4 linked regions of the Saccharomyces cerevisiae S288C genome follow. Changing the gene in region 4 together with the main gene of any one other region gives a genetic interaction. Each region holds a gene or a part of one and is shown on either strand. Other genes may lie near its edges.

Region 1 (8,309 bases), on a different chromosome or scaffold from region 4:
ATCGTGCAAAGGTTGAAAAATGGAAGTTGCACCGGCCTTATCGACTACTCAGTCGGACGTGGCGTTTCAGAAGGTGGAGACACATGAAATTGACAGGTCTTCATACTTGGGGCCATGTTATAATAGCGATGAGCTTATGCAACTTATCTCGGCTTATTACAATGTCGAGCCTCTCGTGGGTTATCTGGAACAGCACCCGGAGTACCAAAACGTGACCTTGCAGTTTCCTGACGATTTAATCAAGGACTCCTCGTTGATAGTAAGGCTGCTGCAATCGAAATTTCCCCATGGGAAGATAAAGTTTTGGGTTTTAGCTGACACAGCGTACAGTGCATGCTGTGTAGACGAGGTCGCTGCTGAACACGTACATGCAGAAGTCGTGGTACATTTTGGTGACGCATGTTTGAACGCCATCCAAAACTTGCCCGTGGTTTACTCATTCGGAACTCCATTTTTGGATTTGGCACTGGTGGTGGAGAACTTTCAGAGGGCATTCCCAGACTTATCCTCCAAAATTTGTTTGATGGCAAACGCACCCTTCTCTAAGCATTTGTCACAGCTGTACAATATTTTGAAGGGCGACCTGCACTACACAAATATCATATATTCCCAAGTGAACACCTCTGCGGTAGAAGAAAAATTCGTAACCATACTTGACACCTTTCACGTTCCCGAAGACGTAGACCAGGTGGGTGTGTTCGAAAAAAATAGCGTGCTGTTTGGTCAGCACGACAAAGCAGACAACATCTCGCCCGAGGACTATCATCTTTTCCATTTGACCACCCCACAGGATCCGAGATTACTGTATTTGTCTACTGTGTTTCAATCTGTTCATATTTTCGATCCGGCTTTACCTGGCATGGTAACGGGGCCATTTCCCTCTCTAATGAGGCGTTACAAGTACATGCATGTGGCAAGAACAGCGGGATGTATAGGTATTCTGGTCAACACGCTGTCGCTACGTAATACAAGAGAAACTATCAACGAGCTGGTCAAGCTTATCAAAACTCGTGAGAAAAAACACTATTTATTTGTTGTCGGAAAGCCAAATGTGGCCAAGCTAGCAAACTTTGAAGATATTGATATTTGGTGCATTCTCGGTTGTAGCCAAAGCGGTATCATCGTTGATCAATTCAACGAGTTTTACAAGCCCATTATTACACCTTATGAATTAAACTTGGCCTTGAGCGAAGAGGTCACATGGACCGGGAAATGGGTTGTGGACTTCAGAGACGCCATTGATGAAATCGAGCAGAATTTGGGCGGACAAGATACCATCTCTGCCAGCACAACTTCCGATGAACCGGAGTTTGATGTAGTTAGGGGAAGATATACTAGCACATCAAGACCACTGCGAGCGCTAACGCACCTGGAGTTAGAGGCGGCCGACGACGACGATTCCAAACAACTGACTACAAGACATACCGCCTCAGGTGCCGTCATTAAAGGTACTGTATCCACTTCAGCATCAGCACTGCAGAATCGTTCGTGGAAAGGTCTAGGAAGCGATTTCGACTCTACTGAGGTTGATAATACTGGAGCGGATATCGAAGAAGGTATTTCCGGTGTCGCACGTGGTTATGGATTTGATCGCGAAGACGCTATGAAAAAGGAAAACAAATGACTCTTATAATTTGTTTCCCTCGACTTCTCTATTTAAATCCAAGATTTTAACTAATAAACTATTTAATAATAAAACAATTAACTCTTTATATGGAAGCCTTGGAAATTAGCCGCCAAAATGGGATATACATTCCGTGCGAAGTGACCGCGTGGAAGGCCGGGTATCATCTTAAAAATCACTAGTTTCTTTTTTAGCGGAATGCAATAAAGGTGCTTTGTGCTGGTGTGGTTTACACGGAACATCTAGTAGCTAAAACTTGGTAACTCAATGGTGATCAGAATCCATAGAAGCATTTTTATTTCTTAAAATGGGTGCTGCTCCTTCCAAAATTGTGGATGGTCTTTTAGAAGATACAAATTGTATGTACACTTCGGAGTGAGGAAAAGAAAGAAAGGGGAAATTAACCGATTTTACTAACACTGACACTTTGAACAGTTGATAGAGATGAAATTGAAAGGTTAAGGAAGAGATTCATGAAATTAGATAGAGATAGCTCAGGGTCTATTGATAAAAATGAATTTATGAGCATTCCTGGCGTTTCGTCAAACCCTCTTGCTGGACGTATAATGGAGGTTTTCGATGCTGATAATAGTGGGGACGTGGATTTTCAAGAGTTCATCACAGGATTATCCATTTTCAGTGGGCGTGGGTCCAAGGACGAAAAGTTAAGATTCGCCTTCAAAATCTACGACATTGACAAGGACGGTTTCATATCCAATGGTGAGTTGTTCATCGTGTTGAAGATTATGGTAGGTTCTAATCTGGACGATGAACAGCTGCAACAGATAGTAGATAGGACGATAGTGGAAAACGATAGCGACGGCGACGGACGTTTAAGTTTCGAGGAGTTTAAGAATGCTATCGAAACCACAGAAGTGGCCAAGAGTCTGACATTGCAATACGATGTGTAAGACTAGGGGACACTTCATTCATTTATGGTATGCCAATATTTTTAAGAAAAGAAGAATAATACGCGATATTGTTTTTTAAGGAAGGAACGCACACTCGCCCAGTTAGAGTGCTGATGATATATACATATATATATGTATATGTAACAAACAATAAGAAAGCAATGATACAACATAGAGATGAGAGAGAGCATATATGTCAGCGACGAGATATACCAAGATGGAAGCTGATCTCATGTAATAACTGCGGGGTGTACTTTGATAATTTTTGGGATTCCATTGTTATTAATAGCTTTGATATCAGACATACAGAATACCAGAGATTTTCCTCAAAAATATGGCAATGCACAAAGGGGGATCAATAGTTATATAAATTAAGATTATTACTTCTTCTTTGTTTTATGTGTTGTTATTCACTATCCCACTGCATTATCAATCCTTACATATCAGCTTCCGTTAAACCCGATGACTATCTCTCAATCATCATACTATCTTCTTACACCGTATATGATAATTACCAGCAATACTAATGCTAGGAGACAGACCATCTTTGATTCCTATTCCAATAAAGTTAAACTGTGATATTGGTTTATTGGATAAGTTCATATCCTAAAACGTGTTGACAACACTTCGGGAGTTTCCAGTAAGTAAAATTTGTATGGAGGGTTGGCCGAGTGGTCTAAGGCGGCAGACTTAAGATCTGTTGGACGGTTGTCCGCGCGAGTTCGAACCTCGCATCCTTCAGTAATTTTTTTTTTTAATTTATTTTTGTGTTGCAAGCGTTGATCCTTTCCATTATGCAGCCATAAGAGGAGGCTGGATATGAATTATTTATTACCAATATAAGGAGCATGTACCGTTGATTTTGAAGAGCCAATTGCTCCAAATTTTGGATTTTGTGTTCGAAAAAGGGAAGATTGCTCCAAACGCAAATAAGGAGGAAACCCGCTGATTGCACTCTTGGAAAAATAAAAATAAAAAGTGGTCTCAGAATTGTTTCAAAAGTGGCACTGACACAATATTTACAGGCGTTGATAGCTTCTTGTTTTAACAATACGATTTAATCTCGGAGTAGTTAAGCCAAAGAATACGTGTTATCCGTAAGAGGCTTATTGCACGTAATCCCCAGTATAAATTATCCGCAAATCGAAGACAAATGTTTAAGAAATACAAAAATCAAGACTTGGACATGGCATTTTGGTGGAAGAAAAACCCCAAGACCCCTTCCGATTATGCCAGGTTGATCATCGAACAACTAAATAAATTCAGCTCACCCTCGCTGACTCAGGATAACAAACGAAAGGTACAAGAAGAGTGCACAAAATATCTAATTGGCACTAAACATTTTATTGTCGGTGATACGGATCCTCACCCAACTCCGGAAGCCATTGACGAGCTTTATACTGCCATGCATCGTGCCGACGTGTTCTATGAACTGCTACTTCATTTTGTGGATTTGGAATTCGAAGCAAGGAGAGAATGCATGCTTATATTCTCTATATGCCTTGGATACTCTAAGGATAATAAATTCGTCACAGTAGATTATTTAGTCTCGCAACCAAAGACCATATCTTTAATGTTGAGGACTGCGGAAGTTGCTCTACAACAAAAGGGTTGCCAAGATATCTTTTTAACGGTAGGGAATATGATTATTGAATGTATCAAATACGAACAACTTTGTAGGATTATATTAAAGGACCCTCAACTATGGAAATTCTTTGAGTTTGCGAAACTGGGTAATTTCGAAATCAGTACGGAATCTTTACAAATATTAAGTGCCGCATTTACTGCACATCCTAAATTAGTGTCTAAGGAATTCTTCAGTAATGAGATTAATATCATAAGATTCATTAAATGTATTAACAAGTTAATGGCTCATGGAAGCTACGTAACGAAAAGGCAGAGCACTAAACTGTTGGCCTCATTAATTGTGATAAGATCTAACAACGCGTTGATGAATATATATATCAACTCCCCAGAAAACTTAAAGCTCATAATGACTTTAATGACTGACAAATCTAAAAACTTACAACTTGAAGCTTTCAACGTATTCAAGGTGATGGTAGCAAACCCAAGGAAGTCAAAACCTGTTTTTGACATTCTTGTTAAAAACAGAGATAAACTATTGACGTATTTTAAAACTTTCGGTTTAGATTCTCAGGATTCTACTTTTCTTGATGAAAGAGAATTCATCGTTCAAGAAATTGATTCCTTGCCGCGTATAATTTCGTCCACAACAGAAGTTTCTAATAATAATGCATCCTCAAGTAACGTCGCCAGTATAACTTCTCCATCATCAGTAATGAACAATCAATCATCCATCTTAACACATTCAACTTCACCTGATTCAAGATAACTATAAAACTTGGTTCACTTTATAAAAAATGGAAAGTTCTCAGGCAGTGGGTCGTGACATGAATATTCAAAAGTAAAATTATATATAGGAAAGTGTTTATTTGCATAAAAAGGGAAAAATAGTTCAGACTTTTGTATTTTTACGTATTTATACAAAAAAAGGTTGGTACCGGAGGCTGAGGAAGCCAGTACAGTTGGATCCGGTACATGGAATTGAGCAATCAACCGTAAATATGAGCGCTTTCTCAAGATATTAAATTATTATAAAACAATTTATTTATCCAATTTATACATGATTTGGATCCTCCTTTGGCTATGTATGTTACCTCTCCTTTCCTTCTTCCTTTTTTGTTTTAACTTTTTTGTTCAAGCTTTTATTGTTTCTTAGTAAATTTGATGATGCTGAACTAGATGGTTGGGAAAATAGTGGTAATCTCTTACTAGTCTCCTGCCCTGTAGGTGATGTGATTCGCTGCCCTTTATTTGCATTAAACAATGCATTAGATTTGGACGTTTTTGGATCTTCGATCTTTTCAAAAAGATTCAGGTTAGTTTCTGATTTACGAATGATGTTGGATTCTTTAGCAATTGTCAGATCTTTCAACTTCCGCTCCCAAAGTGGCACCTGTTGATCCAAGATGGCATTTAGTTCAAGAAGTTTTTCTTCATTACATAACCTTTCCTTCGGGTTAAACGGTCCAAATTGGTATCCGCCTTTACCATCAAATTTTAACAGATAGTTATGAAAATGCCATAAACTTGTCCTGTGGCAAACTGATATTAACGAGATACCAAAATTTTGCGCATTTTCGTACATCCTTTGTTCCATTTCTGGGGCTACTGCAGATGTACATTCGTCGAGCACAGCAAACTTGGGTTTATGATAGTACATCCTTGCCATAGCTAACCTTTGTTGGACACCAATTGTTAATTCTTCGGACCAATTTCTTACTATACTGAATGCATCACGAACTTTAATGGCGCATGGTGACTGATTGTCTTCCGTCGACAACTGCTGTGAATCATTTTTGGAAGTCCTTTGCGCCAGCAGAAGTGACATATTTTCAGTGACTAAATCCTCCAAATCTAATAATTGCAGAATTTTTATTAAATCTGCATCGCCTAGATCATAATCATTGTGATATCTTTCTTTGAATTGTTCAATACTGTCTGGATAAATAATCTGTTCCCTGAATGTCGACCTATTGCCCATATACGGCCTTTGGGGTAAATAAAATATTGCGCAATCTCTATCCACAGTTCTACGCGGCATTATTAACTTGGATTGATGATTTTTATTGGGAGTCGCCCTTATCGGCCAAAGCCCGCCTAGAATACGAAATAATGAAGATTTACCGCAACCGTTGGGCCCAATAATTAGTAGATGATTTCCATGCTTCAGATCAAAACTTAGCTCCGGTACTAGAACTTGATTGGCAGGTGTTATTAAAGGAATATTTTCAAACTTTATCCTTGAATCATCATATTCCACTATACACCTTTCATCTCTTGGTTCTTTTTCGTCATCACCTTTATTAGCATCCAACAAATCATTGAACTTGTTCAATCTCAATCTGATACCGCGTAATTGTTGTATATTTCTCTTCAGTTCCACAAATCTTCCGATAGAGCTAGATGCAGTGACTAATAATCTTCTATTTGTGATGAAATCAGCCGTCATATCATTCCCGGGTTCCTTAAGCTGTAAGGTGTCTTCACTAGGTTTGTTTTTGAAAAATATTGGAATCGAGCATAGTACCAAGCCAGCTGCGCCCCAAGTATATTTAATGACAAATGCAGTAGCAACATCATAAATAGCTCTTGCCTTTATTTCTCTGTTTAAAAATAGCACCAAACGGTAAAATGAATAATCAACGTTTTCTAGTTCCCTCTTTTGCCCTCTTAGCAGTGCAATTTCTTCATTGCTTGAATGTAGATTCGAGTGTAAAGATCTGAACCAACTTTCCAAAGATGCGCTTGCCATAGTTAACCTAGTGAAATTCGGTTGAATCAATTTTAGTAATGAATTGGAGGCGTAGACAATTAAGCCCAGTGCCAAAGTTCCTTCACCCATAACACTAGTGTTTGAGGTTAATAATTTGAATGAACAGAGGATCAAATCCAGCATTGGCTTTAATAGCTGATTCAGTAATAATGACGAGTTCATTGAAAATGTGTAAATATCTTTTGTCAAATTATCCTGAATTTCTGAAACAGATTCAGCAGAAGCTACGGAATAGAAAGTATGGTGATTAGATAGATACTTTGAGAGTAGAAAGTCTGAAACTTTCCTATTAATAGTGACAGCACAAAGTTTTGTCGTGTAACTGATCAGTGAATTAATAAAACTGGCGGGAATTCCAAGGATCATCCATTTCCCCAACAATATCTTTGTGAAGTTTGCGTATTGAGCTCTTACTAGTGTGGACACTAATTGACCATCTAAAGTAGCCACACGAAGAGACAGCAATGTTCTGATGTTCAGAAGAATAGCCTGTGTAATAAATAAAATGAGGCACTTCTTATCATGAAGCAAAAGTTTGAACAAAAAATCTACCTTTCCTTTTCGCTCTCCCCCCTTATGATTAGTCTTGCTTTCTTTATCAATTATTATTGCACCATCTTCTGAATCTGTGCTATGTTTGGAGACTATCGTTAACTCTTCTTTGCTACTTTCATCTTCCTCTCTATCTACTGCGGTTTCTTTTCCCTCTTCAATTTTCTTATTTTCTAAAACCGTTGACTCAGAATCCTTCTTATCAGTTTTGTTGTTACTAGAACTGGAATTTGAATTGTAAAGCGTGGCTAGCAACAATATTATGTATGAAGAACGCAGTAAATTTACTCTATGCTTCTGATAAAATGCAGAAGCTGTTGAGATCATTATAAAATCTTTCTTCGGTAACTTTTAATTGTATTATTATCCCTTTTGAGTCTTTTCCATATTCAAGACGAACAAAATACAGATAACAATGTTGAAGACGTTTGTTTTGTACCGGATTGAGGACAAGATGATACTTAAATATAATATTATCTTTGATCGAGCAAAGCCATCAATATCATCATCTAACATTCACTTTACTCCACATTTCATTGCCGCCCTTAATCTTTCGGAGGGTGGTAAAAACTTTACGGTGATAGTTGTAATTAACGCCGAAGGAATATACATCAAAGACGAAAGAACATTAATTGCATATATTCCAAAAATATGAATAATTACCAAATTATTATTAATTTTTGTTTTGAAATTTAAATAAAGCTATTAAATAAGGATGATGGTGTGGTATGTACTATAATTCAATATAAGAGATTAAGATAACGCTGTAAATGGTTTGGTACAATTGAAAAAAAGTGATAGAGCATTTACGAAAAAGAAAAAAATTATGCTACCAAATGTGCATTATTGTTAACAGGTCCATTTG
Region 2 (3,961 bases), on a different chromosome or scaffold from region 4:
CCTTGTCACCAAATATCTCTTTACCAAAAAGCGCGAAAATAGAAAGATAATTCGTCACGTATGGCAAAGGTTCAAAGCAATGATCACCCAAAGATCGAGAGGTTTCTATTCGTTCTTCGCCTTCCAACGCTGATGAAAATGGTGATACAGCGACTCTGTTTCTCTCATAGGGGCTGTATCCACCGTCGTTCCATGGTGAACTGGAAATTTCCATGCCTATGATTTAGTAATGCGACAATGGACCTGCCAATGAATCACAATCTTTACTATTCTATTCCGTCTTATCGGGGATGCTAGTTGTTCTATGTTCGCTTAATTACGGGTTTTTCTTGTTGCATGATTACTTACTGCATGAAAAAATAAGATTTAACATCGGGTAAGTATTATACATCATCATTTAATCATGATGATAATATTGATACTATAATGTTAACCATCTATAAAAGAGAAGCCGTTGTGGTGCAATTATTGAGACCATGTTATAAACTAACACTTGTCCACTATGTAAATACTACACAACAAAGAACCGACGTCGTCAAGAGCACGACGGCCGCAGTAAGCACAAATTTCAGAGGTTGCTCTAATATGCGATCTATAATGCGGTCAAATGGATTAGGGGATTCTCTTTCGTTATGGAAAGTTGTTTGTAGATTTCCTAGTCTGCTATTCATGAATTTGCGTTCTGTGGGGCCATCGGAGCCTCTAAACGCGCGGTCTCTCATCAGCCAAGTCTTATTCCCAATAATTTGCGCCTCTGTTACATTTTTACCAACATAAATGTTGCTTATCAACATGTTTGGAGATCCACTCCAAAACTCGAGGATCACACCACTGATAACGTTTTCGATGCGCAATGGGTGCTGCTCTTCGTAGTATAGCGGGTTTTCAATTTCCGGTGGATGCCATTCCCCCATGTAATTGGGATTTATGATTTCATTGAGTTCGCCTGGACCTTTGTACTTGGCATTATTTATCAGCCCTGGTATCTGCTGGCCACAACCACGTTCTGCAGTGCAAAGAGGATTTTTAATCATGGGCGGTATCCATTCCCCGTGCTCAAGTTCCTTCCACCACGAGGGCTTTTGAGCATTTGGGTCAAGAATGTATTCGGGGATGGAGCTGTTCCATTCTGGTGGTTCAGTGCCATCTGGATGTGGAATCATCAATGGGTCTCGTTCATCCCGATCACTGAGCTTCACCGCCTCAGGATCTGGGATTCGGATGCGATCATCCCAATCATGCGGTTTCGCTACTGAAACATCAGGAATCATTAAAGGCGGTGTAATGGGTGGCTCAAAATTGACCTTTTTCTTGTCTTCGATATGTTCTCTTACCATAACCGTCTTACCGTCTATAAGAATTTGAAAAGACTGCGCTGATTCATCTATTATGAGCGTATACAGATGAGATTGCGAGGTATCAGTTAATTTTGACAGGGGCATCTCTTGCAAATATCTTAGTTTAGATTCATGTGTGATCTTGTCAACCTTATTGATGGCAAATTGCACGCCATTTATTTCAGGAGCACAATAATCCGGACCAAAAACTAACTCGACACCCTCTGTATCGGGTGCATAGTGTTTTAATGCTTCAACATTCATGAAACCAGACATTAACTTAATAAACGCACCGCCGCACGTCAAAGAATTGTCCAACTTAATTTCGTACTGGACAACCAAGGTATCCGTTTCTGAAACATTAATAGGTGTCTCCAAGAGATGTCCTATCATAGCTGCGGCATTGCCTGTTCGAACTGCGATTCCTTTATCCCATGCGGATCCTTGCAATCGACCCTGTGATAGTCGCCATTGTGCACCATATATTTTAGAGCCTTCATTGTTGACGGCTTCACTTGTGATCCACTCTTGGTTTAAATGCTTTGTATTAGTGTAAGCCTGAAAATGCTCCCAGAAAGAATCTTCCGCTAATGTAACGTTGGATAGCAATGAAGTGCCTTTCACCAACGCTAGATTCAAAAACAGCCACCATAAATACGCAGAAAATTTCATAGTACTACTTTGTGTGGCCGTTATCTATATTAGAAATGCGTTGCCGTTCACTTTTTTACACAATCCTTAAACGACATGCATCACACGGTTTTCAGCTAACCCATAATAATTTTCTTTTTCTTAATCAACTTGATATTGAAAAAGTTGTAACTATTAATGAAGTTTTTCAATAATAGTATACATCCAGATATATAAAAAATAAAATAAAACTAAGCTAAAACCATGTTATCTAATGTACAAAGAATGAAAGAAGATAGAAAAAAGAAGAATGCGTACAAGAATCGTGTATTCCTAGGACCTTTCATATGAAAATTTTCTATTCTTCAACATCGTCTGGCAGGACACCGAATCTATTTGTAGGAGTCTTCTGCACTGTGTTATCCTCTGCTAAAGAGTCAAAAACTTCTGGGATCTCCTCATCTTCCTTTTCAGCATTACCTTCACTAGCACTTTTTGCCTGCACAGACAACCCTCCGTTCAAAAAAGCCAGCTCTTTTTTTATAGTCTCATTGGTGCTATCCCAGCCAGCCTTTCTTGTATTTTGAATGTACTTGGCACGAGAAATGGACTTGGCAATTTTACCGTCCAGACGATTGGTAAAATTCAAGGCCTTCACTAAACGATCCCTGTCCATGGATGAAATAGAGTTGGCCAGTTTGTCTTCCAGAGCCTTTTTATTTAACTTCTTGCCCCTCTTACTTTTATTGGCTTTCTTAGATATCTTTGCTTCCAGCAATGCCTCATTCTTGGCTGCTGTTCTAATCAAAATATTAGTCAAATCGGTTTTTTCAGCTCTAGGTAGTTCACTTAAATCCTTTACCTCTGGTTCAAGAGCATCCGATTGTCTAGCAGCTCTTGAATTCTTTGATATTTTCTTGGCCATGCTTTGTTTTAGACGATATCTTACCAGTATAGTCAAGGAAAAAACTACCTTTTGTCGTCTTTGTTCCCACATTCAATACTTCTAAAGGGTCCTTAACCAAAAAAATTTTCAGCTCATCGCCAAGTTGAATAAAGGAAAAAAAAAGAAGAAAAAAAAAAATAATATAGTCGCAGAAACTTACTTCTGTCTGTTTCATAACAACAAATATTATAAAAGAAAATACATAATCTTAGATACTACAAATGAGCCGCGAGGGGCCCCAAATATTATTTTGTCATTACTTCATTTCACCGTGATTGTTAGGCGTCAATAGAATCTTAACGTTGGATTCCTTGTGATCCATCAACTCTTGGAATCCCTTTTCCCAACCGTCCTCAATCCTTTGCTTACCAGTGATTAGTTGCTTACAATCTTCCATGGCGATGTCTCCGTTGTGGATGGCACGAACAACTTCTTCGAAGTCTTCGACAACATAGCCGATCGAACCAGTCATAACTTTCTCTTGGAGAGTCACATCCATTGGTTGGAATGGGACAGGTTTTGGACCCCAAACTGCAATGTTGGTGGCTGTCCCCTTGAATGTTAATGCCTTCAAAGAGGTTTCGAAAGTAACTTGAATACCAGAACAATCATAACTGTAATCAAACCCATCATGGCTCTTGGTCAAACCACGTAGTATCTCTATAGATTTATGACCGTGCTTGGAGGGATTGAACACCTCAACGCCCAGTTTCTTGGCCATTTCTATTCTTCTCTCTGCAATTTCAGACACTACAATTTTACTAGCCCCCATTCCCTTAAGTACCAAAATGGTACACAACCCAATGGGACCTGCACCAAGAACCAAGGCTGAACTGCCTTTTTTGAAACCAGAAATCTTAACAGCATGCCAGGTGACAGAAAGAGGCTCAACTAAAGCAGCCACATCTAGAGGAATTTCCTTTGGAACCGGGATAATGTGATGTTGAGAGACTACGACTTGTTCAGCAAAGCCACCACTGATCACACCTAGTCCTACAAAACCGGCGTGGGTACATAGATTTTCACTGCCCCTCTGACAAGCATCACA
Region 3 (8,723 bases), on a different chromosome or scaffold from region 4:
AATAAACTATCCTTCCATGTAGGCAAGGCCTTAGCAAGGATCAAAGAAGCATGTTTCGTGAAAGTATTGTCTTGAAGATCCAAGATTTCCAAGTTTTTCAAGTACTGTAAACCGTAATGAATTAGCGTGGCGACACCTTTAGGCCTAATACCATTTTGGTACAGCTTTACGACTTTCAAACCTTCGGAGTGGCTTTTCAAACCCAGAGCTAAGTAGACTGCGGATCCATTCTCTAATCTATTTCTACCACAGATAAAAGTTTCCAAAAATGGTTTGGAAGCAGCTTTCTTATTTTGAGCGAGATGAAATAGGGCCTTACCAATCCTTTCACCAGCAAAAGGGCCCATACCATTGTTACTTAAGATCAAATGTTTGATATTCACGGCATGTGCAATGTAATCTTCTAGTAACTCGATTGTTCTTAGCCCAAACGCATTATCAGAAAGGTTCACAATCTCCAAGTGAGGACATTTCAACAGAACAGGCAATAAAAACTTCAACGAATCAACGACTTCGTCAACCAACCTCGAAGTGTATAAGTCAGCAAAATTTACTTCAACCAAAGATTCCCTGACCTGTGTATTTTCAGCGATGCATTTAGCTAATGCTTCCGAAGCTTCAGTACCGATTGTATTCCCTGAAAGGTCTAATTTGGTACAGGTTTTCAAAGCTGCCAATTCTTCCAGGTATGGTTTGATATCGTCACTGGTTGTTAACTTGAGTGCCTTCCCAGAGATGGAGTAAACTTGTTCTTCCTCGTGCTGAGGAACGAAGTGCAAGGTAGCCATAGCTAAAAATCTGTTTCGAAAGACAGCCTGTTAAAATGGCCTATATTCACCTTTTACCGTGATATTATGCCTTTGATCAATATCTTCCTAATAAATTTTTTTCCATTAATTGTCCCACAACGTGCATAGTGACATGCATTCCATGACCAAACTAAGAGCTTTAAATCAAAAGTAGAATTTGACATTATGAAACAACACGACAACAAGAAAAGACTAGAGGACTTCACAGACCATTATGAACGGCGGAGGCAAGAATGTTTTGAATAAAAACTCAGTGGGCTCAGTATCAGAAGTTGGTCCGGACTCAACACAAGAGGAAACGCCACGAGATGTCCGTCTTTTGCATCTGCTCCTCGCATCACAGTCGATTCATCAATATGAGGACCAAGTACCGCTACAATTGATGGATTTTGCACATAGGTACACACAAGGAGTCCTTAAGGACGCGTTGGTTTACAACGACTACGCTGGCAGTGGAAATTCTGCCGGCAGTGGATTAGGAGTAGAAGACATACGGCTTGCCATTGCAGCGAGAACACAATACCAATTTAAGCCTACGGCACCTAAGGAGCTCATGTTACAGTTAGCTGCGGAAAGAAACAAGAAGGCATTACCTCAAGTGATGGGTACGTGGGGTGTCAGGCTTCCCCCAGAAAAATATTGTCTCACAGCGAAGGAGTGGGACCTTGAGGACCCAAAGTCTATGTGAATGCACCGCTTATATATCATAAGTACACTAAATCAAGTTCTTCCGGAAGATGCGTCATGTAGAATGCATAATAGAGTAATATACACTAAATAATGCGCTAGTCGTGTATCGTGATCATGTTCTCTAATGTTCTTTTTCCTGCCTGCCCTTTCCTACATGGAAAGTTAGAGAAATGAGATCTACACGATAATGTAGTAACAAATGGACCCTTAAACATCTCAATTCATCTTCTTGAGAGCACTTTCCGCGCTGTATTGATTTTTAGAACGTGAAAAGGATAAACTGAAAACTTGAAGTCCTAACCATGTTGTCTCAAACCTCCATACCGGAAGTGAAAGAAGACGTGATAGGCTATGCGCTACACCAGAGGAGAGCCAGAGTGGGACAATTCCAAGACTTGGGTCCGCCTGATTTAATTACTTTGATCAAATCGTTACCTTCATCCTCGAGCACAACAACTGCTACTGCCTCCGCCAACGATAACGGAGCAACTTCAAACATCAATGGACAAGATCCTACGACCATAGTTACGGAGTTACATTCCCATGACAAATTAAAGGGGCAGATCGGCACTTTCTTTTACTGTATGGGTATCGATACTTCGGATCCAACTTCTATTACAATCTTTGCCAAAAAGATAACCGATCTTTTCTTAGACACGCCCCAAATTTGGTTTGGTAAGAAGAAGCACTTTCACGTATCGAAGATTTCTATCAGTTCTTGGAATGCGTTTAGGAAATATGATGTTAACATTATAGTTCACATTCCAGGAACTGTGCAAACCTACATTATAAATAGCGACGGTGAACAATCGCAACTTCCCTCCGTGGCAGAAGCGTCATCTGGCCGCAACTCACAGGATTTAAACGTCAACATGATTTGGGCGGAAACGTTTATGAGTGGTATTGTACGTGACATTATGATTATGAAAGATAATCGTGCGGATGGAGAATCCCAGAATTTGGTAGAAACACTAATTTTCAATCCATTTACCTCGGGTGAGTTGGAAGATGTTGCCAATAACTTTATTAAACTGTTCCCCTTGGTCTATGAAAAAGGTGTTTATTTAGATGCACCTACTCACGTTTTAAATCCCTCGTTAACCAATAATTATTTAGTGGAAACTTTAGTGGAAATAGTTAGGTTAACTAAGAGTTTGGAAGCATGTCGTAAAATGCTCAAGAAGTTAATAGAAATTCATCCAGAAGCAGTAATAATATTAATTCGTGTTTATTTTGCGTGCGATTTAGAGATAGATGCAGTTGACCTGATCAACGAGCAACTAAATTCCCCCTCTTCGTTCTTAGCCGACGATTCAAAGACTAGCCATATCCAGCTAATCTTCAAATCCGAATTATTAAGTATTCAAAGTGAATTCTTACTGGATGTCAAGAGAGATTACAAGCTTGCTAAGGAAGTAGCCATGGAGGCTGTTAACTGTGCACCAAACGAATTTAAAACTTGGTATTTATTGACTAGAATATACATTAAACTAAACGATATGTCAAATGCCTTGCTATCGTTAAACGCCTGCCCCATGTCACAGGTTAAGGAAAAATACGTTCTTAGAAGAATTGCGCCTATTACTTCAGATGAAAATCTTCATCTGCCATTACCATTGGATGCCTCAATTGAGGAGATTTCGTCATTGAACCCCATGGATGTCCAGTTGGAGCAAAAGTCCGCAGATCCAAACCTAGTCAATCTCTCTGCGTCAAGTTTAAAGTCTACTTTCCAACTAGCCTATAAATTATTGACAGAAATTGTCCAAATAACAGGATGGGAGCAGCTGTTGAAATATAGATCAAAAATTTTCGTTATGGAAGACGAGTACCAAGGCTCCACTTCTTCCATTGATGAAGCAGAAGTTCGCGGTAATGATATATCCAAAATGAGATCAAAGAGGCTATGCGAAAGATGGTTGGATAATCTCTTCATGTTACTATACGAAGATTTGAAAACTTACACCGATTGGCAATCAGAGCAATTGTATTTTGATGCTCAAAACAGTAAATATCACAAATTAACTGTTGAATGGGAATTATTCGGCCTTTGTGCGAAAAGACTGGGACATCTTCCAGAAGCTGCGAAGGCTTTCCAAATTGGGCTTTCCCAAAGATTTTCTCCAGTATGCGCAAAGAATCTATTACAGTTTTACATTGACGAGCATAAGCGTATTAGGAGGGATTCAGTCTCAGCAAACTCCGAGTTAACCTCTTCTCAAATATTGTCAAGTATCAATGACATCGACAGCTCAATCATCGATCTAGTAGTCAAGATTTGTTGCTGGAATCATCGTTGGTACATCGAGTTCTCAATAATATTAATAGATGCTCTGAGTGTTGCAGTACAAGATATGGGCATTACTAAAGTACATAATGAAATTGCCTCTAGATTTTCTGACCCAGTAGCCCAATTGATTGACGATAACATTCTAAATTTTCTGAAGAATTTCACGAATGACACTTTCGATAATTAGAAAAAGATGAATACAATCAATAAAAAGGTGAAAGAAATCAATTAACAAGAAACGGGTTATGTATTTTATGTATGATATCCTGGCATTGTCATGTATAGGTCACCTTCTTGGGGAATTTCCCATTTTCAAGTTATTCTGCCTCTAATGCGATAACCGTAATCTTAAATTGTTTAATTTCTTTTTCACAATCTGAGCCACGCCCGAAAAAAAAACAATGTAATCCGCGTAAAGCGAAACTGAGTATAACCCAAAAATAGAATGTAAATTAATGAAAAGCCCATTTCTCCAAAAGATCAGCTTTACTCAAATATCTAATTAAGTAATTGACTGTGTACATTGTCCTTTATCTCATTTTGAATCACCTTTATTAATTTTTGGTTGTTATATAGGACGAACAAATTAGAACGAAATCATATCCAGAACGCAGATATGATCGTCAATATTAGTGCGAAGATGATCTTATCGATATGCTTTACGTTTCTGTCATTTTTTAAAGCCACTCATGCCATGGATTTGGATACTACTAGCAAAACGTCAATTTGTGATGCGACAGCGTTAATTCAAGGTGGTATGCTGGATTACTATGAGGGTACTAGATACGGTGGTACCGTTGGGATGTTTCAGTCACCATACTATTGGTGGCATGCAGGGGAAGCATTTGGTGGCATGTTGGAAAATTGGTTTCTTTGTGAGAATGATACATATCAAGAATTACTATACGATGCACTATTAGCGCAAACTGGTTCCAATTACGATTATATCCCGTCCAACCAAACGATGGTTGAGGGGAATGATGACCAAGGTATTTGGGGTATTACTGTTATGGGTGCTGTCGAGAGAAATTTTACAGACCCCGGTGACGGCAAGCCAGGTTGGTTGGCAATGGTACAAGCTGTTTTCAACACCATGTACTCAAGATGGGATTCAGAGCACTGTGGCGGTGGTCTGAGATGGCAAATTTTCACTTGGAATAGTGGTTATAATTATAAAAATACAGTTTCAAATGCATGTTTGTTCCAGATTGCGGCGAGGTTGGGCAGATATACTGGTAACACTACATATTTGGAGGTTGCTGAACAGGTTTTCGACTGGCTAGTGGATGTCGGGTATGTGGTTCTTAACGATACTGCAAATGTCTTTGATGGTGCTGAAATTGATACAAATTGCACTGATATTACAAAAATTGAATGGACTTATAATCACGGTATCGTGCTTGGTGGTCTTGCATACATGTATAATGCTACAAATGGAACAGGTGAATGGGAGACCAGTTTGACAAAAATTCTAAATGGTGCTAAATCTTATTTCTTCAAAGATAGTATTATGTACGAAAGCGCTTGTCAAGACTATGGCACCTGTAACACCGATCAAAGAACATTCAAAAGTATTTTTTCTCGTATGCTTGGTCTTACAAGTGTCATGGCTCCCTTTACTAGGGACACAATTGATGATTTGATAAAAACAAGTGCTGAGGCCGCTGCAAAATCATGTAATGGTGGTACAGATGGGCATACATGTGGTTTAAATTGGCAGAAACAAACCAATGATGGCTACTATGGATTAGGTGAGCAAATGAGTGCTCTAGAAGTTATTCAAAATCTTTTAATTCATGACAGGCCAGCTCCATATAAGGAAGATAATGGCGGTACGTCAAAAGGTGACGCGAATGCCGGTATGAACTCATCGACCACTAACGTGCTACAAAACAATTTAAACATTAAGAAAGGTGATCGCGCTGGTGCCGCTATCATCACAGCAGTCATACTGAGTGTGCTAACTGGTGGGGCTGTGTGGATGCTGTTTTAAATGTGTCAAACTAGGCTCAAAAAAATTTTATTGTATTCTAATATTTAGGCTATCCTTTTCTTTCAGTAAAAATGTTTATGTGCTACATACAAAACCCTTCATGATCAAAAACTGATTAAAATTTAGAGAGGAACAATTGTTTTTAAAAAAAATACTAAAAAACACTCACGATGGGGGTCGAACCCATAATCTTCTGATTAGAAGTCAGACGCGTTGCCATTACGCCACGCGAGCTAGTCATATGTTTCTTTCGTCTTTTTCATCTGATGACATTCTAGTGGAACATTTATGGTAAGATACCGATTCCATTTTAAGGATTTCTATACCCTCGAGGAGAACTTCTAGTACATACATAATTTTATAGCTTTGACCAACAATGGAATCCCAAAAATTATCAAATTTTTTATCAAATATTCAAATATATCAAATATTCTAATGTTTTATAAACGTTTTATGAATGACATATATGCGATAATTATATGGCTAAAGAAAATCAATGCAAGTTCCATCATGGTTGTGTAAAAGGAACGTTTCAGCTTGTATCTGAGAATTTTCTTTTCTTATTCTTTTGTGAGGGATCTTTTAACACAGATTCACTCCTAGGAATGGCAGCTCTTTGTTTGGCGTAAAAATCTAACATTTTTTTGTCACGAAGAGCATTTTCTGCAGCCCTAATACCCGCAATTTTGATATTTCTGCCCACACCGGTCCCTAAAACTGTTCCATCACCTACTCTGCACTCAACTATGGAATTAGGATCAACTGCAGTGGGTTTTTTTACGGTAACATAATGTAGACGTAATGAAGCATAGCCAATCAAAGAGTAAAGCTGCCTTTTAGCATTCATATCAAGTTTATCCGTCTTCTCCAAGGCAACTTGATTACGGGTAGCCTCCTCAATGACAGGTTTGGCAAGCTTTCTTAACCATTTTCTTATTTTGGGCAAATTATTCCTTGGATCATCTTCCATCAAGCCGCCAATGTAAGCTTCGAACACATCTGCATACAGTTTTAGTTTGCCGTTTTGAAAATTGGAATTTTCATCCTTCAAGTCAAAATTTGTCTTAAGTTTCTCATGGAAATTGTACATTATTGACCATTGTTTGATCTGTTCGTTGCTTACCAAATTCATCCTTAATGTTGATAACTGACCCTCGCTGTAATCGGGAAACTTGTTATAAATAATTAATGTCATAACAGAATTTAAGATCGAATCGCCTAGGAATTCTAGTCTTTCATTATGTGCGTTGATCATTTCTGATCCAGACAAGTAAACTTTATCCTTTATTGTGGATTTGTGAATAAATACCCTGGCCCTAATCGCTAAATCTTGAATCTCTGGTAATTTTGGAGGCCATTTTGTTGCCTTGACGATATCACCAGCCTTTGTTGGGTCATAGCTATCTTCTCCTTCGTCTTCTTCTTCATCTTCCTTTTCATTTAAATTTTCGTACACATTTACATCTATTTTCTCTCGCTTTTCCCTTTTAACTTGTTCTAGCTTCTCTAACTTTTCCATATCAGCTTTACTGATTTCTTGCAATATAGGTTGCTTTTGTTCAGTATCAAATTCATTTTCATAATCAGTAATTTCTGTCAAAATTGCGTCTTTTTTAAGATCATGTAAGGTTTTTAATTCAGCTGCCAGTTTTAATTGATAACGTGATAGAGAAGGAAGTATCTGAACAGGCACTCTATCTTGATTGTTAACGGCTTCATTGTAAGCTACCAAATTTGGTGAAAGTTCAATTATTTTATTGTAAGACTCCACCAATTTTGTCACAGCATGTTCTAGTTGAATCACCTCAAGATATTTGTAATTTGATATCTTAAGGTTGCCTTTCAAAAGCGTCTTGGTATTGATATTTTCGCGCTGCTGTGAACCATTTTCGTTATCTAGTTTATTATCATTCTGGGTTTTCTTTTTACCTGCTACTTTTGAGCCCATTGTTTTGAAAAGCTTGTAAATAGGACAGTTTTGCTCTCTTCTATATGCGCATTTACTTGCCTCACTTTGATCGAGCAGGATTCTCCTGAGAGTGACTATATGACCTGATAATGAGATAAATTTTGCGATGAGCTCATGAAAAATTTCAGCATGGTTTAGGGCCGCATTTAAAAAAGAAAAAAACTCGTACGTGAGAAATAGTACCACATGTAAAATTTTGTAAAACTGAAGTACCTATGCGATATTTAGTAGTTATTTCAATACAGTATATAGTTGCTTCTCCGATTCCTCTTCGTTTCTCTCAAGTTTTTCTTCTGCGCTTGTCACTTCGGATATGTCTTCCTGGAAGTGATCTAACTTATGCTCTACTTCATCATCGATTTTGTCATCTTGGCGCCCATTTTCCGCATTCGCCTGTGTATCCTCTTTTGAATTTTCAAATTCAGGGGTTTCAAATGAGATCAATGCGCCAAAATAGTTTCTACCCTGTTTCTTGGACCTTGAATGGTGATTAGGGATTATTTTTCCGTAAACGTCGCCTTTTAAATTCGTTATATCCCAATTCAAGCCGGCAATTTTCAGATCAGGATATCCCGTAGGTAATCCAATGTCTTTCATCTTCATACACCATGGTGGTAGTTGACCTTCGGGTAAATTCATTATGGCACGAAGCTCTTGGCTAATTCTCCCCGGTCTCTTATGATCAACCATTCTTTTCCAGTTCGTTTCCTCGAAAAGATTCCTATTTTCATAATAGACGTCACCGAAGCATAACAAATGGTCAGGTTTCCAGTTGGCTCCTATCTTGAAAAACACATCGTGTAACTTCTTGTAATCCAAATCCAAGGCGCCCATTTTCGGCTGCACTCTTGCTCTTGAGGCCTCCTTTAGTGACTTTTCATCTTGACCATCCAGTCCGCTTTGCGGAAGCGTCGATCTCATTTGTTCTATATTTGTCTTCTTGATAATGTCAGGAAGTTCAAAAGGTCTTTT
Region 4 (8,217 bases):
ATTCTTAGGAAGTAAAGTACTTCAATTATTGCTAGAAATGACTGCTCAGATTCCGTATCAACATAGCTCGGGATACATCTCTCATTTTCACAATAATGAGCTTGATGCAGGCAGGGGAAGGGATTATAATGTAACCATTAAGTATCTAGATGATAAAGAAGAAAATATAGAAGGCCAAGCAGCAAAGATTAGTCACAATGCGAGTCTGCATATTCCCGTTTTATTGTGCTTGGTAATCTCGCTTGGTGGCTTTATTTTTGGATGGGACATTGGAACCATCGGTGGAATGACAAATATGGTTAGCTTTCAAGAAAAATTTGGCACAACTAATATTATCCATGACGATGAAACAATTTTTGTATCTACTAAGAAACTTACTGATCTGCAAATAGGCCTAATTATCAGTATTTTTAACATCAGTTGTGGCGTAGGGGCTTTAACTCTGTCAAAAATCGGTGATTGGATTGGTAGGAAAGGTGGTATATGGTTTGCCTTAGTAGTGTACTGCATCGGTATAACCATTCAAATTCTCTCCTATGGAAGGTGGTATTTTTTGACATTGGGAAGAGCCGTAACGGGAATCGGTGTGGGAGTAACCACTGTCTTGGTGCCAATGTTTCTCTCCGAGAATTCTCCACTAAAAATCAGAGGCTCCATGGTATCTACGTATCAATTGATTGTAACATTTGGCATACTAATGGGAAACATTTTAAATTTCATATGCGAAAGATGTTATAAAGATCCTACACAAAATATAGCCTGGCAATTGCCATTGTTCTTGGGATACATTTGGGCAATTATAATTGGAATGTCACTTGTTTACGTTCCTGAATCTCCACAGTACTTGGCAAAAATCAAAAATGATGTGCCCTCTGCTAAATACTCTTTTGCGAGGATGAATGGCATCCCTGCGACGGATAGCATGGTAATTGAATTCATCGATGATTTGCTGGAAAATAACTATAATAATGAGGAAACTAACAACGAATCAAAAAAGCAAAGCTTAGTTAAAAGAAACACATTTGAATTTATTATGGGAAAGCCAAAGTTATGGTTGAGACTGATTATTGGTATGATGATAATGGCATTTCAACAGCTGTCCGGAATAAATTATTTCTTTTATTACGGAACGTCTGTTTTCAAAGGTGTCGGGATTAAGGATCCTTATATTACTTCAATCATACTGTCAAGTGTTAACTTCCTTTCTACGATATTAGGCATATATTACGTGGAGAAATGGGGCCACAAGACATGTTTATTATATGGTTCAACAAATTTATTATTTTATATGATGACATATGCTACTGTGGGGACATTTGGAAGAGAAACGGACTTCTCAAATATTGTTTTAATTATCGTGACTTGTTGTTTTATTTTTTGGTTTGCAATAACATTGGGCCCAGTTACATTTGTACTAGTGTCCGAATTGTTCCCTCTAAGAACGAGGGCCATATCAATGGCTATTTGCACATTTATCAATTGGATGTTCAATTTCTTAATATCACTTTTAACACCAATGATTGTATCCAAAATTGATTTCAAACTAGGATACATATTTGCTGCTTGCCTATTAGCGTTGATAATATTCAGTTGGATACTAGTTCCTGAAACGAGGAAAAAGAATGAGCAAGAGATCAATAAAATATTTGAACCGGAGTAGATATTACATAATATAAATAGAAGAAGTAGCAAAGTGCAGTTTTTTTTTCCATAATAAATAACCATCAGTAACTAAGTGGCCGTGAGGACTGACCACATTTTCTTTACATACAGTAAAGTAAATAAATCTATCAAATATTTTGATTATTACTTTTAGATAAAACCCTTCTCTATTAGAAAATCTCTTATTATATCCCAGTACCCATCTTGAATAATAGTATCATTGTGTGAACCAAGTGGAAATTCGAAAATCTTTTTGTTCGAACTAGGACATGTTTCGTACAGTTTCCTCATGTGGAAGGGTGGAACGATTTCATCTTTTAATCCACTTAAAAACAAGAATGGCGTCTCTGAACTACAGCTTCCCATAAGGCCTTCTGAATTCCAGATTTCGTGACATAAAAGCGTAAAGCGTTTCAAAAGGGGGAAAATATATGGGATAACTTTTCGAATACTCAAAAATGTATTCTCCAGTATAACGCCATCGCATAGATCCCGAAATTTTGAAGCAATGTAAAGAGCATTAGCACCACCTAGAGATCTACCATACAATACTAGTTTTCTCTTTGAATGGAAAGAATCCGTTGACAAATGCGATATGACACAATCAGCGTCCAATTTCAAACCCTTTTCGCTGGGTGAACCTTCTGAGTTACCATAACCACGATACGAATAAATAAATACACTCATTCCAAACTGACGATAGAAAATGTCAATTATTAGTATAAAGTATCCAATATTACCGGCATTGGGACATAAGATCAACACAGTACTTGTTGAGTTTTCATTCTTGATATCCCATGCCTCGAGTTTAATGTGGTCTTGTGTAATTAGGGTTAGCTTTTCATAAGGGATTCCACGGGAATCAGGAGTGTCAACATGATTCCTGGCGCCTTGAGCCCATGATGGGTAGACTAGGCGATTTTGGTAGTGATAAAGGGTCGCAACCGATATTGTTGTTAGCGCTACCAAGCCACCCAAGAACATCTTAGAAACTTTCCACAACATGAGACCAGAAAAGGATTCTACAGTGCAATTGACGGAGAAATAAAAAAGGGAGCAGGTGTGGGCTTGATTCGAGTTATTTCGAGGAACGCACCTCTCTAAGTATAAGAACAACCCAATTGTGAGTAGATCAATTTAAGAGGTGTTAATGATCGTTGCGGGTAATTAATTAACTAAAGACTATATAGAATAAAAAGTAATAAGAAAGACAAACAATACAAAGATATAAGAAAAAGAAAAATTGGTAGGTATCCAGGTGAAAAGCGGGGACAGTTGCTTTCTACTCCGAAAGAGCTCCCTGGAAGTAGAATCCTACAACAATAATGATATATAGTAATATCAACATGGAACCCTTGAAATAGTTACTTTTACCCTCAGCATACAAATAGGTGAACATGAAAACACTCGTCATAGCACCAAATATGTCCCAACGGGGAAAGACTAATGGGAACATCTGTGTTCTGATATTAATCATCGACTTTTTAACATTCCACGTATAGAAAATGGAATAAATGACTAAGGATGGGATTTGTAAAAGACAAACCTGTAAAGCATAAGCACTACCGATTTCCATTGATAACGCTACATTACCATGGATGGCAAATGAAATGGCATTCAAAAACTCTGTCGTATTGGGGATCAGAGCAAAAATGGTGAGACCTAGAAACTTTGGATTCAAGGAGGGAATATCTTCTAGGACAGCATCAACACAGGAAACAAGGATTTCTGCAATTATTGCGTACAGGAGCGTAGACATAAGTAAAATACAAGTAGACTTGCTTCTTGACCAATTGGGTGCATCGTGAGAATTTTGTTCCTGTTGTTCTGGTGCGGTCGAGGTTGGGTCCGCAATAGGCAATTGCCAAATCATCTTTGCATGTGTTCTAAGGGTGAACCACAAGCCAATGATATAAGCACAGAAGAGAACAATGGCACAAGATATGGACATAGGTTGAATAACATGAGTGAATAAACGGTTGAACTTCAGGGGAGGATGCGAGAAAGTACAGTCACGGTCGTTAGCACCGTCTGCACAGTTTACCGAGTAGCCGCCATATATCTCGTATAAAACGGTGGGGACAAACATTACAATCATGGAAAATATTAACAATGCGGAAGAGACACCAGCGCTAGCAGGGTTGTATCTTTGTGTTTTCCTATTTAGAGCACCACCGCACATGGACAGACCTGGTAATAATAGAACGGCACCTAGAATGGAACCAATCATGGATCCTTCCACTAGAAGACCCTTTTTTTGTTGCAATGCAACGCAGTACAAGAAAATTTCCACAATGGTCGAGAAAAATGCATTAATGACAGCACCGACACCCATGGAAGTTTGAGCAGAGATCGATGCGACTGCTTGTCCAATGTAAAATGCTAGTGGGATGGTGGATGTCAAACAAAGAATGAATATTGAGGATTCGTATGTGAACCACGTTTTCCAATGCAGGAAATTTTTCAAAACATAAAAGTCAAAAATTGTAAAGAAAACGATGGATATTAAATTCACAACAATAACATTTGTACCATCAACTGTGTACTTGTAGTAATGCCAGCCAGCGGCACGGAACGTACATAAGAGGATATTTTTGTTCAATTGCTGCTGGGTTATTTCATTTTCGTGCGATTGGGAGGAGTTCTCGACATATTTGAAGCCTAATGCAAGCGGATGTCTTCTGCAATGATACATAATTTGCCAAAGAACATTACTCATGGGAATGGTAAACACCAGGAGCCAGAGGCAAAGAGATAAGACGGCAAGGATGGGTTGCAAGACGAGATGGAAGATTGTATAGAAAAGAACACGACCCCAGCTCCATTTTCCTCTCCCAAAGTACCGTCTTTGAGCCGCTGCGTGCGGAATTTCGTGTCTAATAGAATTATATGATGGATGGTTCGAGTTAAGCGGTGTTGCTGTTGTGTTAGCGGGCGGCATCAAAGACGAAGATTCCGTTGCAGGGGCCGGATGGTCCTCTCTTTGCTGAAACTTGGCCTGAGACTGGTGGAAGACCAGCCTGTTGGAGTATGAAGTCACCCAATTGTAGAATTGCTGCATACTAATACCTTCATCCTTATCTTCTTGTAAATATTGCTCGTCCTGCAACAAGTATACCATTTTGCCAAAAGGCCAAAGGAAATAATTGGCGAGTTTATACAGACACTTGGAGTACTCCTTCGCAGAGTTCGTTACCAGTCCTCCGCCGCCTAGTAAAAATACCACAATAGCCGCCGAGTAGAAGAGTATCGCAATGGGGAAACCGAACAAAATAAACCATAGCACATTGGAACAAGTCACCTCCCAGGTAATAGTCTTCAACTGAGTCTCGTGAATGTCTTGCGCCGCGGTTCTTTGAACTGAACGGTGTTTCTTATATAAAGCAGGCTTCCATATCCTGATACCGAAGGGGTGGGTCTCGTTGATGGCGTCCTGTCTTTCTCGTAAAGTGAATGACTCTGTGGACGAAGCATTAGACGCCTGGTCATTGTTTTCCAAGTGTGAAGGCGACTGGCAATTGATCTCGTCTATAAGTAAATCATGGCCGTGCGAGTCGTGTATAATGAACCGACTGTCATCATTGGCGTCCTCGTCATCATTGTCATCATGAGGTAATTCCCGGATAGATGAATGCATTCGTTTCGGAGAGCTGGGAGTAGCTGTATTTAAGTCTGGCACAGAGTGCGACTTGGAGGATAGCGACTCTAGTGTGGGCGGCAAGTGTTGTTGGTGCTCGTGGTGGTGCAGCGTGTTGTTGCTGCTATGTACGATTGGTGATTGCGAGCTTACAGATCGCTTGGATTTATTGGCATGCAGGGCGAACTTCAACCCTTCATGCAGACCCTCAAGATACCTGATATCGTTTTGGATCTCCTTTGGATCATCGTCCACGCTAAATATTCTATGAGGAGTCGAGGCAGATGTAGTTGGGGTCAGAACCTCCTCTTTAAGACGATGGTCTCCAGAGGTACTGTTACCACTGGCAGAAATGTGGTTATTTTTGGCCATTGCTGCTTACCGCTCTTCTAGCTAGCAGTTATTTCACTTTCATTTACAGCATCCCTCATGTTTATTATCTTCTTTATCTAATATAAATTAGGAACTAAATAATCCCCTCACCGTATAAAGCGACAGTTCCGTGACGGTTACTATTATGAATATCTCAACGGAAAGAGGGCATTAAAAGATCATAATAGTTGGTACTCTCGTATTTTATATATATATATCACTATATTTTAACACTTTTACTGCTCAATTGTGCCATATACTTCGCCTTATTGCGTACATTCTTCACCTTGTATCCCCCTACCTCAGCGTGTATGGTGATATCGCGTTTTTTCATAAACTGAGAATGGGGCTTTTTCTATAACGTGTATTATGAAAAAAAGAAAATAAAAATCAAGAATTAAGCACTTGTATATGCTACAGTAAAGACCTCTTCAACTTCTGCAAGACAATCAAAAAAAAAATGATGCGTCGCACGCTATTACATTCATTCGCTACGCTGCTACTTTCTTTGTCGTTGTGGTCAGCTGCGGTCATGGCAGCTGTGACAACTCAGGTTACAGTGGTAACAAATGTCGCAGGGGCCCTGGTTACGGAGACCACAATATGGGACCCTGCCACCGCTGCTGCTGCTGCTACAACTACCGCTCAAACAGGTTTCTTCACTACGGTATTCACTACCACTAACGATGTCGGAACCACCGTCACTCTTACTCAGACAGTCAACAGAGCCACTATGCTACCAACCACGACGACTTCTACCTCATCTACTGGTAAGACAACCACCACTGTTCCTACCGCAACTTCATCGTTGTCTTCGGGACTGTATTTATCTACAGTTACCACGACAAACGATTTGGGTACCACAGTTACATTGACTCAAACGTTCACACATTCTAGCACCAGTGCTACTTCATCCGCCTCCTCGTCTGTGTCCTCGTCTGTATCTTCGTCTGGTTCATCCTCCAGTGTAAAGACGACCACATCGACAGGGAGCGCAGTAGCTGAAACAGGCACCAGGCCAGACCCCTCCACAGACTTCACAGAACCTCCTGTGTCTGCTGTCACTAGTCTATCTATTGACTCATACATTACCATCACTGAAGGTACAACCTCCACTTACACAACCACACGTGCGCCAACGTCCATGTGGGTCACTGTTGTTAGACAGGGCAACACTATCACTGTGCAAACTACTTTTGTCCAGCGTTTCTCCTCCCAGTACGTAACAGTCGCTTCTCCCTCCGTGGGGTCTATTGGGATGGGTACTTTAACCGGTACTGTAGGCGTTATTAAATCTGCAATAAAGAAAACAGTTTCGCATAATGAGGCCCAGCATCTAGGTATGAGTTCGTTTACTTCAATTTTGGGTGGGCTATTAACGGTTTTAATTTGGTTCTTATAAATTTTTATTCAGAAATAAACACAAACATATACATATATAAGAGTAAAAATAAAAAAATAAAAAAATTTTACAGGGTTAAAAATAAAGAAAACCATCACTCCTTTTCTATTTCATATTCCATGACAAACTTGATGCATCAGCAATCTTTCTACCGCCGAAGAGCCAAAACGTTAATAATATCAATGCCATGGCAGCACAAATACAGCCTCCAATCAGGTAAACTATACCTAAAAATGGATTTCTACCGCCAAGGTGAGAACCGTGAGTCAAGTAGATTCCCTTCTTACCATTAAACTCCAATACTGGCCAATGCAGACCGATATCCAACTGGTATTCACCCGCTGGCAAAGTATCGTTTTTATTGATTCTGATCAGTTTTGTAATTTTATCAAAAGCACCTGGCCTCATCCAGTTTTGGAACTCTTCCCAATCCTGAATATCAGGAATATTCGTCTCGTTGTATCCATCTGGATACATCTTTTCCCAATATGGTGGAGGTGCTATCTGTGTATAATTGTATTTGGTTTTTTTGTACCTTTTTTTATCAGATTCCCAATTGATTCCTTTATTTGTCAATGAATAGTTGTTAGACGTATCCCCTACATTTGTTAACTGCAGGGGGAACGTGTCGTTGAACATTGAGTTCGCAATTAGGCCACATGGATAGTATATTTTACCATCGGCGTTCTTAGATAGTGGCTTACAATTTATACCGGTTGCATCATGCACCGTCTCATAAGAGGCGTCCTCCCCACGTATCTGATCTTCGCTAAAAGATAGTACATATCTTCTGTGATTGGCAGCAAATTTTTCCAGCACATAATTCAAATATACGTTATTTTTCATATCACTTGGAGTAGTGAACCTGATTTGGCATGTACCTCTTTGTTTTGTGAAGTCATCTGATTCATCATCCACAAACCTCCATTGTGGTGCAGTATTATATGTTTTATATTTGTGAAATACAAATTGCCAATGTTCAGAAGGGATGTCGCTCCATGATGAGGTTGCGTTAGTCATACAGTCCTGGTAATATATGGTTACTTCATCCACTTTGGAGTTCTGTGCTAATATGCACCCTCCTACAATAACAAATACAACAGCAATTAACAGATAAAGAGGCAAAACTGTCCTCGGCGTTAAC

Evidence for each region.
Region 1: mutations in KRE1 (region 4) and CNB1 together harm fitness more than expected from each alone (negative genetic interaction), as found in Saccharomyces cerevisiae (6 studies listed by BioGRID, with this or other methods).
Region 2: mutations in KRE1 (region 4) and CNE1 together harm fitness more than expected from each alone (negative genetic interaction), as found in Saccharomyces cerevisiae (5 studies listed by BioGRID, with this or other methods).
Region 3: mutations in KRE1 (region 4) and DFG5 together harm fitness more than expected from each alone (negative genetic interaction), as found in Saccharomyces cerevisiae (6 studies listed by BioGRID, with this or other methods).

Annotation. Positions count from the first base shown.
Region 1 is NC_001143.9:81,016-89,324, forward strand, and holds CNB1 (calcineurin regulatory subunit B), read left to right. Parts: upstream 1-1,931; coding exon 1,932-1,983; intron 1,984-2,059; coding exon 2,060-2,535; downstream 2,536-8,309. Other genes in the region: DPH2 (2-(3-amino-3-carboxypropyl)histidine synthase), read left to right, coding at 20-1,624; HYM1 (Hym1p), read left to right, coding at 3,689-4,888; ATP-binding cassette long-chain fatty acid transporter PXA2, read right to left, coding at 5,210-7,771; FAT3 (Fat3p), read right to left, coding at 8,269-8,309.
Region 2 is NC_001133.9:35,512-39,472, reverse strand, and holds CNE1 (calnexin), read right to left. Parts: upstream 2,010-3,961; coding exon 501-2,009; downstream 1-500. Other genes in the region: GPB2 (Gpb2p), read right to left, coding at 1-214; ECM1 (Ecm1p), read right to left, coding at 2,326-2,964; BDH1 ((R,R)-butanediol dehydrogenase), read right to left, coding at 3,170-3,961. UniProt on the Saccharomyces cerevisiae protein: Interacts with newly synthesized monoglucosylated glycoproteins in the endoplasmic reticulum. It may act in assisting protein assembly and/or in the retention within the ER of unassembled protein subunits.
Region 3 is NC_001145.3:741,948-750,670, forward strand, and holds DFG5 (putative mannan endo-1,6-alpha-mannosidase), read left to right. Parts: upstream 1-4,405; coding exon 4,406-5,782; downstream 5,783-8,723. Other genes in the region: GTPase-activating protein RNA1, read right to left, coding at 1-788; TAF9 (chromatin modification protein), read left to right, coding at 1,024-1,497; BCH1 (exomer complex subunit), read left to right, coding at 1,802-3,976; RNT1 (ribonuclease III), read right to left, coding at 6,315-7,730; U2 snRNP complex subunit CUS1, read right to left, coding at 7,983-8,723. UniProt on the Saccharomyces cerevisiae protein: Required for normal synthesis of the cell wall.
Region 4 is NC_001146.8:32,150-40,366, reverse strand, and holds KRE1 (Kre1p), read left to right. Parts: upstream 1-6,131; coding exon 6,132-7,073; downstream 7,074-8,217. Other genes in the region: HXT14 (Hxt14p), read left to right, coding at 38-1,660; YNL320W (uncharacterized protein), read right to left, coding at 1,813-2,667; VNX1 (calcium/hydrogen antiporter), read right to left, coding at 2,945-5,671; LEM3 (Lem3p), read right to left, coding at 7,179-8,217. UniProt on the Saccharomyces cerevisiae protein: Involved in a late stage of cell wall 1,6-beta-glucan synthesis and assembly.